Linked DNA regions of Anolis sagrei. The protein of the gene in region 1 interacts with the protein of each later gene in a biochemical or structural test. Links are inferred from orthologs where the notes say so. Each region holds a gene or a part of one and is shown on either strand. Other genes may lie near its edges.

Region 1 (7,098 bases):
CTAGGACTGTGTGATGTATCGGCGAATAATGCATGCAGATCCCAGTAAGGTGGCCTTCTGTAGCTGGCAGATAGTAACTTTGTCAGCGCTGATTGTGTTTAAGTGCAGGCCGAGGTCTTTAGGCACTGCACCCAGTGTGCCGATCACCACTGGGACCACCTTTACTGGTTTGTAGAGTCTTTGCAGTTCAATTTTTAAATCCTCATATTGTGTCAGCTTTTCCAGTTGTTTCTCTGCAATCCTGCTGTCACCTGAGATTTAGACATCGATGATCCATACTTTATTTTTTAACATGGTTGTGAGGTCAGGAGTATTATGCTCCAAAACTCTGTCTGTCTGAATCCGGAAGTCCCAGAGGAGTTTGGCGTGTTCATTCTCTGTAACTTTTTCCGGCTTGTGATCCCATCAGTTCTTTGTCACAAGCAGATGGTATTTTGTGGTACAAGTTCCAATTAATCATCTGAGCAAAGGTGTTATGCCTCTGCTTGTAGTCTATCTGCGCGATCTTCTTGCAGCAGCTGAGGATGTGATCTATTGTTTCATCTGCTTCCTTGCAGAGTCTACATTTGGGATCTGTTATTGTTGTTTTTGTTTTTGTTTTTAAGCTATTATTATTGTTGTTGTTGTTGTTATTAATATTATTATTATATCTGGAAACATCATAAATTGTATTCAAACTTAAGTTTTTCTTATGGAGTTTAACCTAAGGAGTCCGATTCTGATATCAGTTTTGGTGGATTAAATCATCTTCATGTCGAAAATGTTGATTAGACATCAGCAACTTGGTCGCTTCCACTATGTTGGTTATTGCTGCTATTGCAATGTAAATTGGTGGAAAGGTAGGTAATGATGGTGTGAATAAAATAGCAAAATCTGGTTGAGATAGTGCTTGCAGTTCAGGAGGAACTCTAATTTTTGCTTCTCTTAGACTTAGCATAGGGACTTGATTATCCAGTTAAAATAACGAGTTAACCAGTTTTTTTTTAACCTGAAAGGTTTCAGGATGTATGTGTTTGGACCTGAAAAGTTTCAGGATGTGTGTGTTTGAACCTGAAAAGTTTCAGGATGTGTGTGTTTGAACCCATACCAACCCCCCACCCCCAGCTACAGGCTTGCATCAAATTAATATTCCTTTCACATGGCTGCAAGAATGAAGAATACAGACTCCTGAGAAAATGACTGCCTGCAATTTTTGGGTTGCTAAAAGAACTTGCTTGAAGCCACAATGCCTCTTGGAAGGCAATGGGATAATATTTCAGTCTTGGAGCTCTGACACATGTTGTGACAGCCTGTGGCAGACATGCCAAGAGCTTCATTCCATAAATCACATTTCGAGAAAAGGAGGCCTCTGTGCTCAGTAGCAGCAGCAGCAGTACAGCATAGACCGTTTCTCCTTTCTCTTGGCTCCTTTGCTCGGATGGGGGTGGAGAGAGCCTTAACCTTCCGCTCGTAGGACCAACGGAGAAAGAACATTGCATACAAGAGTCCCAGCTCTTGCTTTGTTAAACGAAATGAAGGCCATGTAAAGACTTCCTTTAAAAAAAGTTCTATAGTAGTGTTGCAAACATGGAGATTCAGTAGAATTCTGTTTTCATTTACTTTTTTGGCAGCACTTTTCAAGTCTCTTCCCTCTGCCTCCCCCCTATAGACTAGGTCCATTAATATGGGATGGAAACAAGAATAAACGTGTGTGTGTGCACACACACATGTATGTAGAGTATAAGAAACAGCACTTTTAACTTCTACCATGACTTTTATCTGCCATTGGGGGAGGTGTGTGTGTGTGGTGATGGATTTGAAGAAAAAAATACATTCCCAGAGTATAGTATACAAAATCTTCTTTCCCTTCATGGTGTGAAGTTCTAAAATATTTCCATTGTCCTGTGAAGGTTACTTACACCACAAATATATTTGAGTAACCTTTATAATGCTTGGATTCAAAATTCTGCAGCTATGGCTTACATGTGTCCTCCAAGCTCTGATTCGCTATTTCCATTGCTCTCTTCCCCCAAATATCGGATGGTCCACTACCTGGCAGTGAAATCAAGCTAATATTTATTTCCATGCTGTTTCCTGAGAACTAGTACTCAGGATAGTTTATGAATATTAAAACTGTTACAGATAAATATGTGTAGTATAGATTTTAAAAGGGGATCCAGAACATCTAGGTGATTTATTTATTTATTTATTTACTTTGCTTTGCAGTTTCTCAGCCCGTAGGCGACTCAATGCGGTTCACAACAAGAGCAAAAGTCAATCATAACAACATACAATTTGATGAGTGTATAATACAGCCACAACAGATTGAATACTATTTATCTGACCAGAAGAGCCACCTTCTAACAGTAGCTCAATGGTTGTCTCTTTTCACTCACCGTGTATGTGTCCTCACATAGTACACGCTTGGGGTCAGTCACATCTTCTCTGCTGCTCACCAGAAAATATTTGGGTTACAGATGTATAGGATTGGATTGATCATATTAATGAGCAAAGATAAGGATTTCCTAAAATCCCCTTGATTAATCAATTTCAAGAAGGGGACCAATACTAAAAGTGTGCTTACTGATTTACATGTGATCACATGATCAAATCAGACATTGATTTGGAGTCATTATTGATTTCCCCACCCTAGATTGTTTCCCCGAAGTGAACAAAGAGCTTCAGAGTTCAATCTGTCATATTTGTTTGAACTGATATGATCTGAGATTTATATGAAACCCTAATTTACTCCAAGCAAGGAAGGTTTGGAATGTATCTTATTGACACCTAGGAGCTCATCAGATTGAGGTCCAGAAGCTGGGAGACAGTGGAGGAAACTGTGGGAGAGCAGGAGAAATTGTGGGGCAGTGAGGGAAACCATGAGGGCAGTCCCCTTATCATCCCATGACATTTCCCAGCTGTCCCTGGTTTCCGCCTGTGCTGTCTGTAGCTTCTTCAATGAGGATACAGGTGACCTCAGGCCAGCCTCTGAGCACACAGCCGGGATGGAGCGAAGATGGAGCGCTGCTAGAAGTAGTCCTGATGGGCTCATATGACAAATAGTCATATGATGGGCTCCGTCAGGCTCCATCACAGCTCCGTCATGGCAACGTGCTAGGATGGGGGAAAAACCCATTTGATGAGGTCCCTAGTCTTGGGGGTTTCAATAATACATGTATAAATACTGGTAAATATACTATTAGATACAAAATATGGGCAGCACATTTATTGAATTCCAGGCCTATCAGGTATTTTCAAATCATGTTAGCTGTTATATATGTTATCAGACATAGTTCTTATAGACTGTCATTGCTGTTTCACAACTTACATCCTGTTTTCAAGCTGTGCTTTTTAATTAATGACCAAAAGTGAACATTTTAAAAAGTTGTAGAGCTATCATCCATAGACTGGAAATGGAGTTCATGCTATTTCCTGCTTTAGGAAAATGGCCTATGAGAATTTGAATAAAGGCTAGTGTTATTAAGGAGTGTATAATGGATGGAATCCTATTAGAGACTCACATCATCATAAAGAAATTATTAATTGTGCAATTGCATCTCCATATCCAGTAGAGGACTGCTTTTATGTTATTACACGCCCCAGTTTGATGCACAAGGGTATCTGATATGTAGCTAGGGATAAATGACATTATATAATGTCAAGTCATAAAGGATTCTGATGAATGTCCAAGTAATGACAGGCAAAGCCTAGAATATTGTGTCCATCTTCACTGTTTGCATCCCAACCACTCAATGTGATATTTTTGTGGCTGTGCAGCAATCACAAATATGTGAAGAAAAGACTGAGTTGCATTTTCTAACATCTGGATTATTAGTTGCCGAGTACACATAAAACTCAGAATGCCTGCACCAGATGCATCTTCAGATAAATTATCTGAATCCTGCATACTGAGTAACAATTCTGCATTTACCATGAACAAATATGACTCTGTCTTGTTCCGGAATGCACTGTTGCTCTCTGCATCATAAGGCACTCAGTGAGTTAACTTTGCATTGTGATATCATTTTCTGAGTTCCAAGCCTCTGCCTCTGTGTAAGAATGCCACCCACATGATAGGGGAGAGCTGTCAAGCTGAAACATGCAGAAGGTACTTAGACACACCTATTCAAGCACCGCTTCACCTATTCTTGAAGTGTCTCGTGTTCCTGAAACCTCCACATGTTGAACGGAGACGCCGAAACCAGGTACAGTAGAATTTACGAACAATTTGAAAACAAATAGGCTTTGTACTCAAGAGTAGAAGTGAACCCTATAAGAACATTATTACATGTTTCTTTAATGGTATTTTTGGGTGTATGTGTGGGAAATTATCTATGTAGTACAAGGGAAGTAACTCTTGGCAACTGCACGTTGCTTCTGGATGCCTTTGTGTTGTAAACTGGTGTTGTTATTTTACTATTGCTTCTACAGCTGTGTGCCTGGTTTGTGTTTACTGTGGAGGGGTAGTACAAGGAGCATGTTGGTTTCTTGCTAAGAATACATTAGGAACTATCTTAAAACTGATGAAGCAGTTTGGATCTGGGACTGAGGACAGGCAAACACTACCTTGCACCTTTCCCAACTTGTTGTATGTTTGTTTTTGAATATGCATTCCTGTAAGTTTTGGCTCTTTCTTCACTGCTTTGTGTATGGACACTATTTAGTTTCATACAGAACTTAGAAGACTTGCTCAAGATTGGCTCTATACTACAAAAAAGTACATGTGGTATCAAGTCGGTAGCTGCTAACCTTTTGTATGTCCAATTACCCATCTAATTAGAATAAACACTATGGGCCACTTTTGATAAAGCTTTATCTGTGTGCACACAACAACAGGCAAATGCAAACACATTCACTCACACAATGATATCGTGTCACATTTGTTTCACCTAAAAATACTGAATTAGACTACATTCGATTTCCAGTATTATTGAGATATTAAAAGTTGATTTGATCCTTTAAAGTCTTGTTTCACACAAATCCCCACTGATGACAAAAGGCACATATCTAATGAATGATGAATATATAACATAACTTTCTTATGGAAGCATGTTTCCTAATATTCATTATTTCTGCAGAGCCTTTTCCAGTAAAATGCCCTACCAGGTCTTTAAGTTAAGTATTAGTATTTTTATATACTACCAATCTAATAACTTGTAAGCCAATCTTATACCATTTACAAATAACTTGTATGCCACTCTGAATCCCCTTCAGGGTGAGAAGGGCGACATATAAATGTCATAAATAAATATAAATAAATAAATAAATAAATAAATAAATAAATAATAGATATTCAAATACATGTATAGGGAAAAAATCTTTAGACCAATGGTGTCAAACTTGTGGCCTTCAACTTCAGCTCCCAGAATTCTTGACCATTGGACAAGTTGGCTGGGCCTTCTAGGAGATGGAGTCACAAACACCTAGAGACACACAAGTTTGACACTTCTGTGCCTTGCCCATGGATCATATCTGGCCTGTGGGTCAGTGGACAACGTCCATCCCTTACATGTCTTCTGCTCTTTCCCTTTGGCCAGTGGTTCTCAGCCTATGGGTCCCCAGATGTTTTGGCCTTCAACTCCCAGAAATCCTAACAGCTGGTAAACTAGCTGGGATTTCAGGAGGTTGTAGGCCAAATCACCTGGGGACCCACAGGTTGAGAACCACTGTATTAGAGAGAGAAAAACTCAGTGTGAAGAGAGAGTAGGCAACAAAGGGGGCATAGAAAAATGGAGCATTTCAAAATACTATTTCCTATACAATTTTGGAGAAACAGATCTTAAGTTAGATCAGGCTTTGAAATCTCTGCTTGGCCATGAAACCCACTGGGGGACCTTGGGCAAGTCACATTCTCTCGTCCTCAGAAGAAGGCAATGGCAAATCTCTTCACAAGAAATCTTGCAAAGAAAATGCTGTGATAATTTTACCTTAGGCTCACCATAGGTTGAAACGACTTGAAGGCAGACAGGAACAAATATTGATTCTGATCTTGGATGGGGAAAAGAAACACGGTTATCTGTTTTCACCCAGTAAATATGAAACCTAATTCCCCAGGTGATCCATCTGTTATGTATTTTCAATGTGGCATACCCGATTCACCTCCCATACAATTCTCACAACAAGTTTCTATACGGTTCTGGCCCAGCTTACTTGTCCGAATGCATCCACCCCTACGTCTCACCTCGTAATCTAAGATCATCCGGGGAGGCCCTGCTCTTGCTCCCGTCAACAGCACAGATGCGTCTGGCGGGGACAAGAGACAGGGCCTTCTCGGCTGTGGCCCCCCGCCTATGGAACACACTCCCAAATGAGGTAAGATCCACTCCCTCCCACCTGGCTTTTGGAAAAAAATTAAAATCATGGTTTTGAGACCAGGCCTTCAGGCAGTAGAAGTAAATGCATGCAGCATTTCAGAAAAACAATGACTGGAATGGCGATTTGTTGTATGACACTGTTTTATTGTTTTAATGATTGTTTTATTGCTTGTGGATGTACTTTTAAAACTTGATTTATGTCCAGTTGTAGTGTATAATTGTAATTGTTTGTACTGGCATTGAATTTTGCCATTACTTATGTGTAAACCCTCGGGGTGAGAAAAGCGGTATACAAATACTATAAATAAATAAATAAATAAATAATTGGGAAGGAAGTGAGTCTCATGGGTGAGTGGGACTTTGTATCTGGCTCATTCTACTCCCAGCCTGACAATCTAACAAAACCTTGCTGAGTTTTCAATCATGATCTTAAGCCCTTTTTGTTTTGACCTGACCTCTGTGTGACTTTTCCCATTTCTTTGTCCTGGAATATAATTTAAGCAATAATAGGGAGAAACCCATTGCATCTTCTGCTGTGTTTTAATATGATTATACTGTATGATTTGATTTTCAATTTATGATGTTGTTAACTGCTTGGAGCACTTGATTTCGAAAAGGAATGGAACGAGAATATTTAAAAACATCTCAAAATAAATAGCATGGCTTGCCAAAGTGTGAGGTTTACCAAGCTCTTAGAGGGCTAGCATACATGGCTGGTCTCTCTGTGTACACAAGTTATGTCCATTTGCTGTTGCCTAAGTTATATACAGTGAACATGTCTGTCTGGAGAGAACCTTTCTCTGAG
Region 2 (7,541 bases), on another chromosome or scaffold:
GCATGGTATGGAGTTGGACTGGATGGCCCTTGTGATCTCATCCAGCTCTATGATTCTATGATAGTGGTTAGAATTGGTCTTCATTACATAATATTTTATGACATTGTCAATATGTGAACAATCCTCCTCTTCATAGGGCTTAGCTTCCAGGCCTTTAGCCTTTTTGGTCAGCCTTTGGATCCTTTCCAGCTTATCAATATCCTTCCTGAACAAGCTCTAATATTTGCACATGTTTTCATATATATATATATATATATATATATATATATATATATATTCTAGAAATGACATTCAGTTAAAACTATTTCTGCTCAAACTTTGTATATTTCATTGTATATTTACTGAATTTTTAAAACAATGTAGAAAATACTTGCATAGTTTCTGTTTTATGACGATAGGATTATAATTTACACTTCCTAGTCCTGTGAAAAGCCAGCTGGTAGAATGTTATCTGAGGACACAATTAGGTTTATGAAATTTAATCACAACAACTTCTCTCAACAAGCATTGTGTCATAGTCAAGATTGGGAAATTCAAAATTAAACTGTATGTTGTTGTATCTTAATTCATTTAAGGTTGCATTTTCCGTGATGTTCTGATAAGGCTTATGGCACCAAAGCAATTTGTATTATTTCTACCAGTATTTGTTTCTTTTAATCCTTGTTTCTTGTTATTTTTGTTCCAGTGCCGTAGTAATGACTACTACTGTTCTGTGCTTACTTTTGTTGACTAAAGAGATAACATTTGGTCCAATATAATCAACTTTAGGTTCTCTGAAGTTCGCAACTGATGTACCTCAAGTGATCTTTCCAAAAAGAGGATCAAAGCCTGTTTTCATAGGAAAGATAAACAAGTATATTTGTAATATAAATGCTTCTCAAAAATATAACATCGTATTCAAAAATAAACTTGTAGTATTTTAACAGCCTGAATCACAGACCCTTAATACACAGAAGTTCTCTTTCTGGAGACCACAACTTGGAAGAGTTACTTTTTGAACTAGAGCACCCATACTACTTTTGGGACCATTGTTCCCATGTTCATTGCAGGAATAGTGGTCCAAAAAACATGGGTTTTTGTTAATGTGTGTTTTAATTGTATTTTCTTTTACCTTGCAAACTTCCTTGAGTTCCAGTTTTGGAAGAAATGTGGGATTGATTGCTGAGCAGACAGACAGACAGAAGCCATCAACTGTCACTGTTTGAACTGAAGGCTTGGGGGGAAAGATATTATAATCTGCAATGGTAAATTGAAGAAAGGGAAGATATGATTATAATAAAATACTACTGGCTTCAGGAACCTATTATCCAGATGGTATTTTCATTAGTTGAGGGCAAAAACCTCCTTGCTTAAGTTGGATTTTTGATGACTAATTAATTGTAGGAATCTTTATAAGGGCAGCACTGACTTTTTCATTTGTGAAATTGTATATTGTTTAATTAATCATTTTTAATTGTAATATTTTAATTGTGTTTTCATTTTGTTATTATCTTTTGAGCTATATTGTTTGTGAGCTACCTTGGATTCCACATTAGAAAAAGGGACAGCTTATAAATGCAATAAACTAGAAAATAAATAAATCACTGGAACAACAGCCAAACAAACAAGTTGGGTGAAAATCCAGTCTCATTTTGCTAGAAAATGTGAAGAGCATCTGGATGTTTGCTCTGTCTCCTTCTAAATTTCTGCATTGCTCATAAAGCTTTGGAAAGCTCCAGATTTGCTTCAGTGTGACTTCAGGGATTCCTGGCTCATTTTGAGTGAATTCCAAATTTATCTGAAGAAGCCTGGTTTAGCTCAGGATTTGGGATTTCATTCAAACCAGAAACATACCCTTAAATCCATCTTAATCCCAAGGATTTTGTTTCAATTAAGTCTCACTGAAAGTCCAGAAAAATATACATAAGCTGTCAACTCCAGTGGCTTATTGAAAGTTTCTCAAAATTCGAATACAGGACCTCATTCCACAAGGAGGGGGTAAAATCATCTTTTTTTCATGTCCTTATGCCTGTAAAGAAAAAGGAATTCACACAAGTCTATCACACAGGGTCACATCCTCCCATTTCTATCTCATCCATCCGCTCCATTTCCCATCACATGGCTGGGTGTTGTCTCCTCCCATTACTTGCTCCTCCATAGTTTTAAATCACTTTCTTTTTTTTACTTTTGGTTTTTTAATTAAAAAGTCACAACTGCAGAAGTACTTTCTCTCACAGAACCAAAGCAATGAGATTCAAAATTCAAAAAAGTAAATGCCATAGTTCTTTGTGGGAACAATAATCAGTTTGTAGCAGATGCATATGTTTGGAAACCAAAAAGAGAGAGGTATCCCACCCAACCACCCACATCCCAGCACTACCTTCCTTCTTCTCTGGTAAGGCAATAAACTTCAACCATGTGTGTGAAACAGGAAGCTTTCAATAAGTCAAACTATCAGATCTTCAAAACGGCATAGTTACAGCAATAAAAAAATTAAAGAAAAAACTTTCCCAGTTCTTTTTTGTGTCTGCTGAGTAACTGTGACAAAAGGAGTGTCAAGGGGCATTAGCAAACCACCCACATGAATGCCCTCACTGACTGTTGTGGTGCTGCATTGGCATCCACATGGTCCAAGACCACATTGACACCACTGGACACTCACTACTGCCAACATCCCCTCCTTCTTGTTCTGAATGGTTCAGGACCTGCCTATCTTCGTGACTGCATCTTCACCTACGAGCCCACATAGTCTTTAAGATCATCCAGGGATGCTCTTCTCTCGCTCCTATCCCCGTCTCAGGCGTAGTTGGTGGGGACGAAGGAAAGGGCATTCTCAGAGGTGGCCCCTCATCTCTGGAACTCCCTCCCCAGGGAGATCAGGCTGGCAACCTCCCTATCCACATTTCGTAAGGAACTAAAGATGTGGATGTTTCGTTGTGCATTCGATTGATAATTCCTTTGGCAGATGGTCCTTAACCATGACCTGAATTCAAGTTCCTGTATTTGATTACTACACTTTTAAATTAAACTGAAATGATCTTGTCATAATTGTGGTATGCCTATGCTACTATATGTTCTATCCACCTTATTGATCAGCCTATCCTCTAACTCGTTTGCACACTAGTGCCCCCCCTCCCCAAAATGGGACTAGAGGTATCTCTGTTATTGCTTATTATGCTTGTTTCTTACTGTTTATGATGATGTTGTTCTTATGCTGTTTAAATATTTTTCTTTTGGTTTTGTTTTTAACTATATGTTGCCTGGGCTTGGCTCCATGTAAGTCCCTTCGGGGAGATGGAGGCAGGGTAGAAAAAATAAAATTCTTCTTCTTCTTTTTTTCTTCTTCTTCCTAGTCATGCACTGCCTCTGTTGATGTCAAAATGGGGCACTCATGATGGCTGGGAGTTCAGAGTTCTTGGCTGACTATAAATGGTGAATGTGATGAAAGGGCATCTTCTTTTTCCTGTATTAATGAGGTCAGGGAAGGATGATAGTGCCAGTGTCCTATCTGGACAGTGGATTAATCTAAATCAGATGCAATCTAGTTATCCAGATGTCCTCAAAGCCAAAGTTTCCAGCAAAGTGTGAAGCATCCTCCAACATTGCTTGAAGTAGGGCAAAGCCACTTTGACCAATGAAAACCTGCAATATTCGCTGGAAGGTGATCACAAAGTTGCACTGAAGGACCTAGAGATTTCTAAAGAGAACATTTTGATCAAATCTACAAAAAAAAATCAGATCCACAAAAGTGAAACCCACAGATGTTGAGAGTTAACTGTAGCCAGCTATTTCTTAATGCCAGTATCAACTATTTGCTGCTTCTCTTTTACCACCAATATCCATTGTTTTTATCCTTTTAATAGACTCCAGGGAGAGATGGAAAGAGAGAAACTGAAGGAACTGGGGGCAGACAGAAAGGAAGTCATTTCACTTTTATTACTTACTATAAGTCAAGCTTTTTTGCAGACACATCGTAGCACGTGAGTGAAGGGACCTGACTGATGAATGATGCTGTTTTTATTATATAAATACAAGGTTCTTTTTTAAAAACTGAAAGCTTAGCCAGTTGCTCGGTTTTCAGTCCAAAAGAAATCCATACAGGTTCAGGCACCTAATGGTCATGTTAACAACTATATTTTAAGCCCACCATCCTTGATGCTGGTTAGAGTCAACCTGTAAGACACAAATATAACATGATATGTGTTAATAACAAACATCCCAAGTTACAGAGAGTCTTTTCAAGCCATCTAACATTTGTTAACAGTGGGACAACAGAAAGATATCAGGTTTACTGTGAACCTAACTCCCTCAAAGGGAGCCTCTTTTTTAAAACACACACATACACCACTTTTTATGTCGTTGTTAACAATACCTGAAATGTATCATAAAGAGGGAAAAGTTCAAACACTTGCTTCATGTACATGTTATACCCTGCAGGTATGGTATTTAACACTCCTCTTAAATTGTGTCTTTTGCTTTCCACTTGAAACATAATGAGGCAGCCAAAGTGTAGGCTGAGTTTTTCTATGTCTCTGATCGCAAGAGGGATTACAAGGAGACAATAAGGGAATACAGCAGTGTCTCTTCACAACTGCAATGCCGGCTGCTGCAACAATTTATACTCCATTGAGAAAGGCAGGTTACAGCTAAGGGGGAGGGACAGATTCCCCCTCCTTCCATGATATCCTTTAGCCGAGGAGTCAATTTGCAGACTTCAAATGGTTCCGTGGGGTCATTGTACTCACACCATCCCATTTGTTGTACTTTTGTGTTCTGGAGGAAGCCTTCAAGTAATAGTGAGTTTATTTAGCTGCAGAAAGTTTGGCGAACTCCAGTTCATTCAGGGGCCTGCTAACGGCAGGGAAAGTTCAGCTCTCAGCTCCAGAGCTCAGTGACGTTAATAAGATCCAGAGCCCCAAGAGTTGGACAGCTGTGGTCTTCTTTCTCCTCTGCCCTGAAGGGTGAGTATATTTAAAGCTTTTCATTCTCTTTATGGTATCACCCGTCTTTACCACTTCAACATGAATGGGGTAGCGAGGGGGAAATATCAAGAAAGGTGAGTATTGCTGGTCCTCCTTTGCTCAGTAAGCGTGTGTAAACTCCTGGGTCTACCGAAAGGGGTGGATGCAAGAATATCAAAACAATATTCTCTCTATTTATAGTCCCCTTGATTGTAACTAGGAATATTCTTAAGAGGATACATGGGAAAGTATAATGAGAAAAGTGGTGTGGTGGTTATGTTTAGATGAAAACAAAGCATCCTAAAACTCACGGTGGTAAAAACTCAAAGTGCAGCAATCCCTTAGGAGAATCCCACTCCTCACAAATGTGGAAAGCACTTGCAAGTTTTCTAGTGAACAGGTTATTAGGAAAGTCCTTTTCTTTTTAATGAAGGGATTCAAATAGGCACAGCACAACAATTATGTAACGATATCTCTCCCCACGTTCGGCTCAGTTAATGAGAAAGTAATGCAGTGTTTGTTCTCCCTCCTCCATTCTCCAAAAATGTTTACTAGCAATTTCATAAAAAGGAACTGTTTCACAAGTTCTTTAATTTCAAACACATGCAGCTGAATGAATCACTCTACTGTTTTACACATTATGCTGATAATTAAGCTTTGCTACATAAATACAAAGCTGGAATCTTGTAGTATAACAATAGGGGAAACTGCATGGTTTCACCCAAAATTTGGTTGCTATTAGTCATCTGAGGAAAACATAAACACTCCAAAAATCAGAGAGACACTAATGCATGCTGATAACTGCCTTAATTGATTTTTCATGTTTTTTTCTGTATCCTTCAAAAATGGGGAAATAGATCTATTTCAGAGCATGACACAAAATGTCTCCAAGGTTCACCAAATTTTGGACATTAGCTCTCATATATAAAGAACTCTCCATGCCCAGATTGAGATGCCAACTGTTGAGCTATTAAGAGTTTCCTGATCCTATGTTTTTTCCCTAATTTTAGTTGGTCTTCTCCAGATTGTGAACTGATCTGAGCACTTCACATCAATCGAGAAGATAAAATCATTGCAGACAACAGATGTTTACTCTTAAACAGCTTAGACACTCAGACCACATCAGAAATGTCAAGAAGAACAGCCCTTTTGAACTTTATTGTTGTGAAAAAAAATCCTTTCATCTCTTTTAACATTATATCCTTGTGTTAATTTCTTAAATGCTTGCACCTGCTTGAAGAGACTTTTAATTGCAATTTTTATATTTGATGTCCAATCCCACTGTAACATCTAAAACAAATATGACCAATTCATTGATATAGTTAAGGTAAATGAAGAAGGTTCAATAATACTAGAAAACTTTGCTTTTTTCTAATATAATTATAACTTTCAACTTACTATTTTACTGAAATTATGTTCATTCAGTATATAATTATGTTTAAATGTTATTGGGATATCCTGGAAAGATTAACCACAACAACCACTAATTCCCAATAGGATTTAATGAGATTAAGGATAGGCATGACTATCAGTACAAATATTTGCATTTATGAGCATAGACTGCCACTATGGTCTAGTGGTTTGAGCACTGGAATGTGTATCTGGGTTAGAGTTGTTGGAAATAACTGTATAAAATGGATGTTGTGCAGGAGAAGATGAATATTGGTGGGAAAATACTGCAGAAAAAGCTTGTTAGAAATAACAAGTAAACTCAACTTTGAATCCATTCAAATCAGGGAAAACTTTCATGTTACTTTAATAATATAACAGCTTGGGGAAATTACCTTTTTAGTACACATGCTACAGTGCAAAAATGTACTTTTTCCAATACAGCTTGAGAGTTTAATCATAATCCTGACACATTTTGATCTTGTTTGAAATGTTTCAGTGTCAATAAGTTCTATTCCATTAGACCAGGGGTTCCCAAACTAAGGCCTGTAGACCCTCTAAGGTCAATTACCCATCCCTGCCCTAAACTTTAGATTTAACTTTAGGCAACAACAATCCGAATTAACTTGGCTATCTCATCAGCCAAATGCAGGCTAACACTTCCCATTGTTCTTCATTTTAAATATTGTATTGTATGACAAATAAGATGTGTGCAGTGTGCAGGTGAGGAAGGGGGGTAGGAGTTCAACACCCCCCCCCCCAATTTTTTCAGGTTAAAATGAAAAACCTAGTTTACTCATGAATTTTAACTGGTTAACCAAATCCCCATGCTAGGTTTATGAGAAGCAAAAATTAAATTGATGTAATTAAGTCTATATAAAATATAGAATGAACCATACTATTTAAATTATTTTGTGTTATGGAACTACTCTTCATGATTCACTTAAAAAATCAACACCCCCTCCCCCCCCCCAAAAAAAAAAAGATTTCTGGCTACAATCCTGCCAGTCTGCATAGGAATTCATTATTTTTTTCAAACTATAGTCCATGAGGCCCCCAATAGTCTGAAGAACCATGAAATTGTCCTCTGTTTAAATAGTTTCAGGACCATGTATTAGACTGTCTGTAGGGTTTAATGCCATTGAAAACACAAGTGAAAAGTTCTGCATTGGCATCACAACATGCTTCCAATTGTAACTTTTGCAGGTGATC

Evidence for each region. The genes of interacting proteins can lie anywhere in the genome.
Region 2: the proteins of FGFR2 (region 1) and FGF10 are reported together in a solved structure, tested with the Homo sapiens proteins (3 studies listed by BioGRID and IntAct, with this or other methods). The link is inferred for Anolis sagrei from reciprocal best matches to the Homo sapiens genes FGFR2 and FGF10.

What each region holds. Positions count from the first base shown.
Region 1 is NC_090023.1:200,546,930-200,554,027, forward strand, and holds the start of FGFR2 (fibroblast growth factor receptor 2), read left to right. Parts: upstream 1-4,077; 5' UTR 4,078-4,184; intron 4,185-7,098. UniProt on the Homo sapiens protein: Tyrosine-protein kinase that acts as a cell-surface receptor for fibroblast growth factors and plays an essential role in the regulation of cell proliferation, differentiation, migration and apoptosis, and in the regulation of embryonic development.
Region 2 is NC_090022.1:275,736,340-275,743,880, forward strand, and holds the start of FGF10 (fibroblast growth factor 10), read left to right. Parts: upstream 1-4,529; 5' UTR 4,530-4,940; intron 4,941-7,541. UniProt on the Homo sapiens protein: Plays an important role in the regulation of embryonic development, cell proliferation and cell differentiation. Required for normal branching morphogenesis. May play a role in wound healing.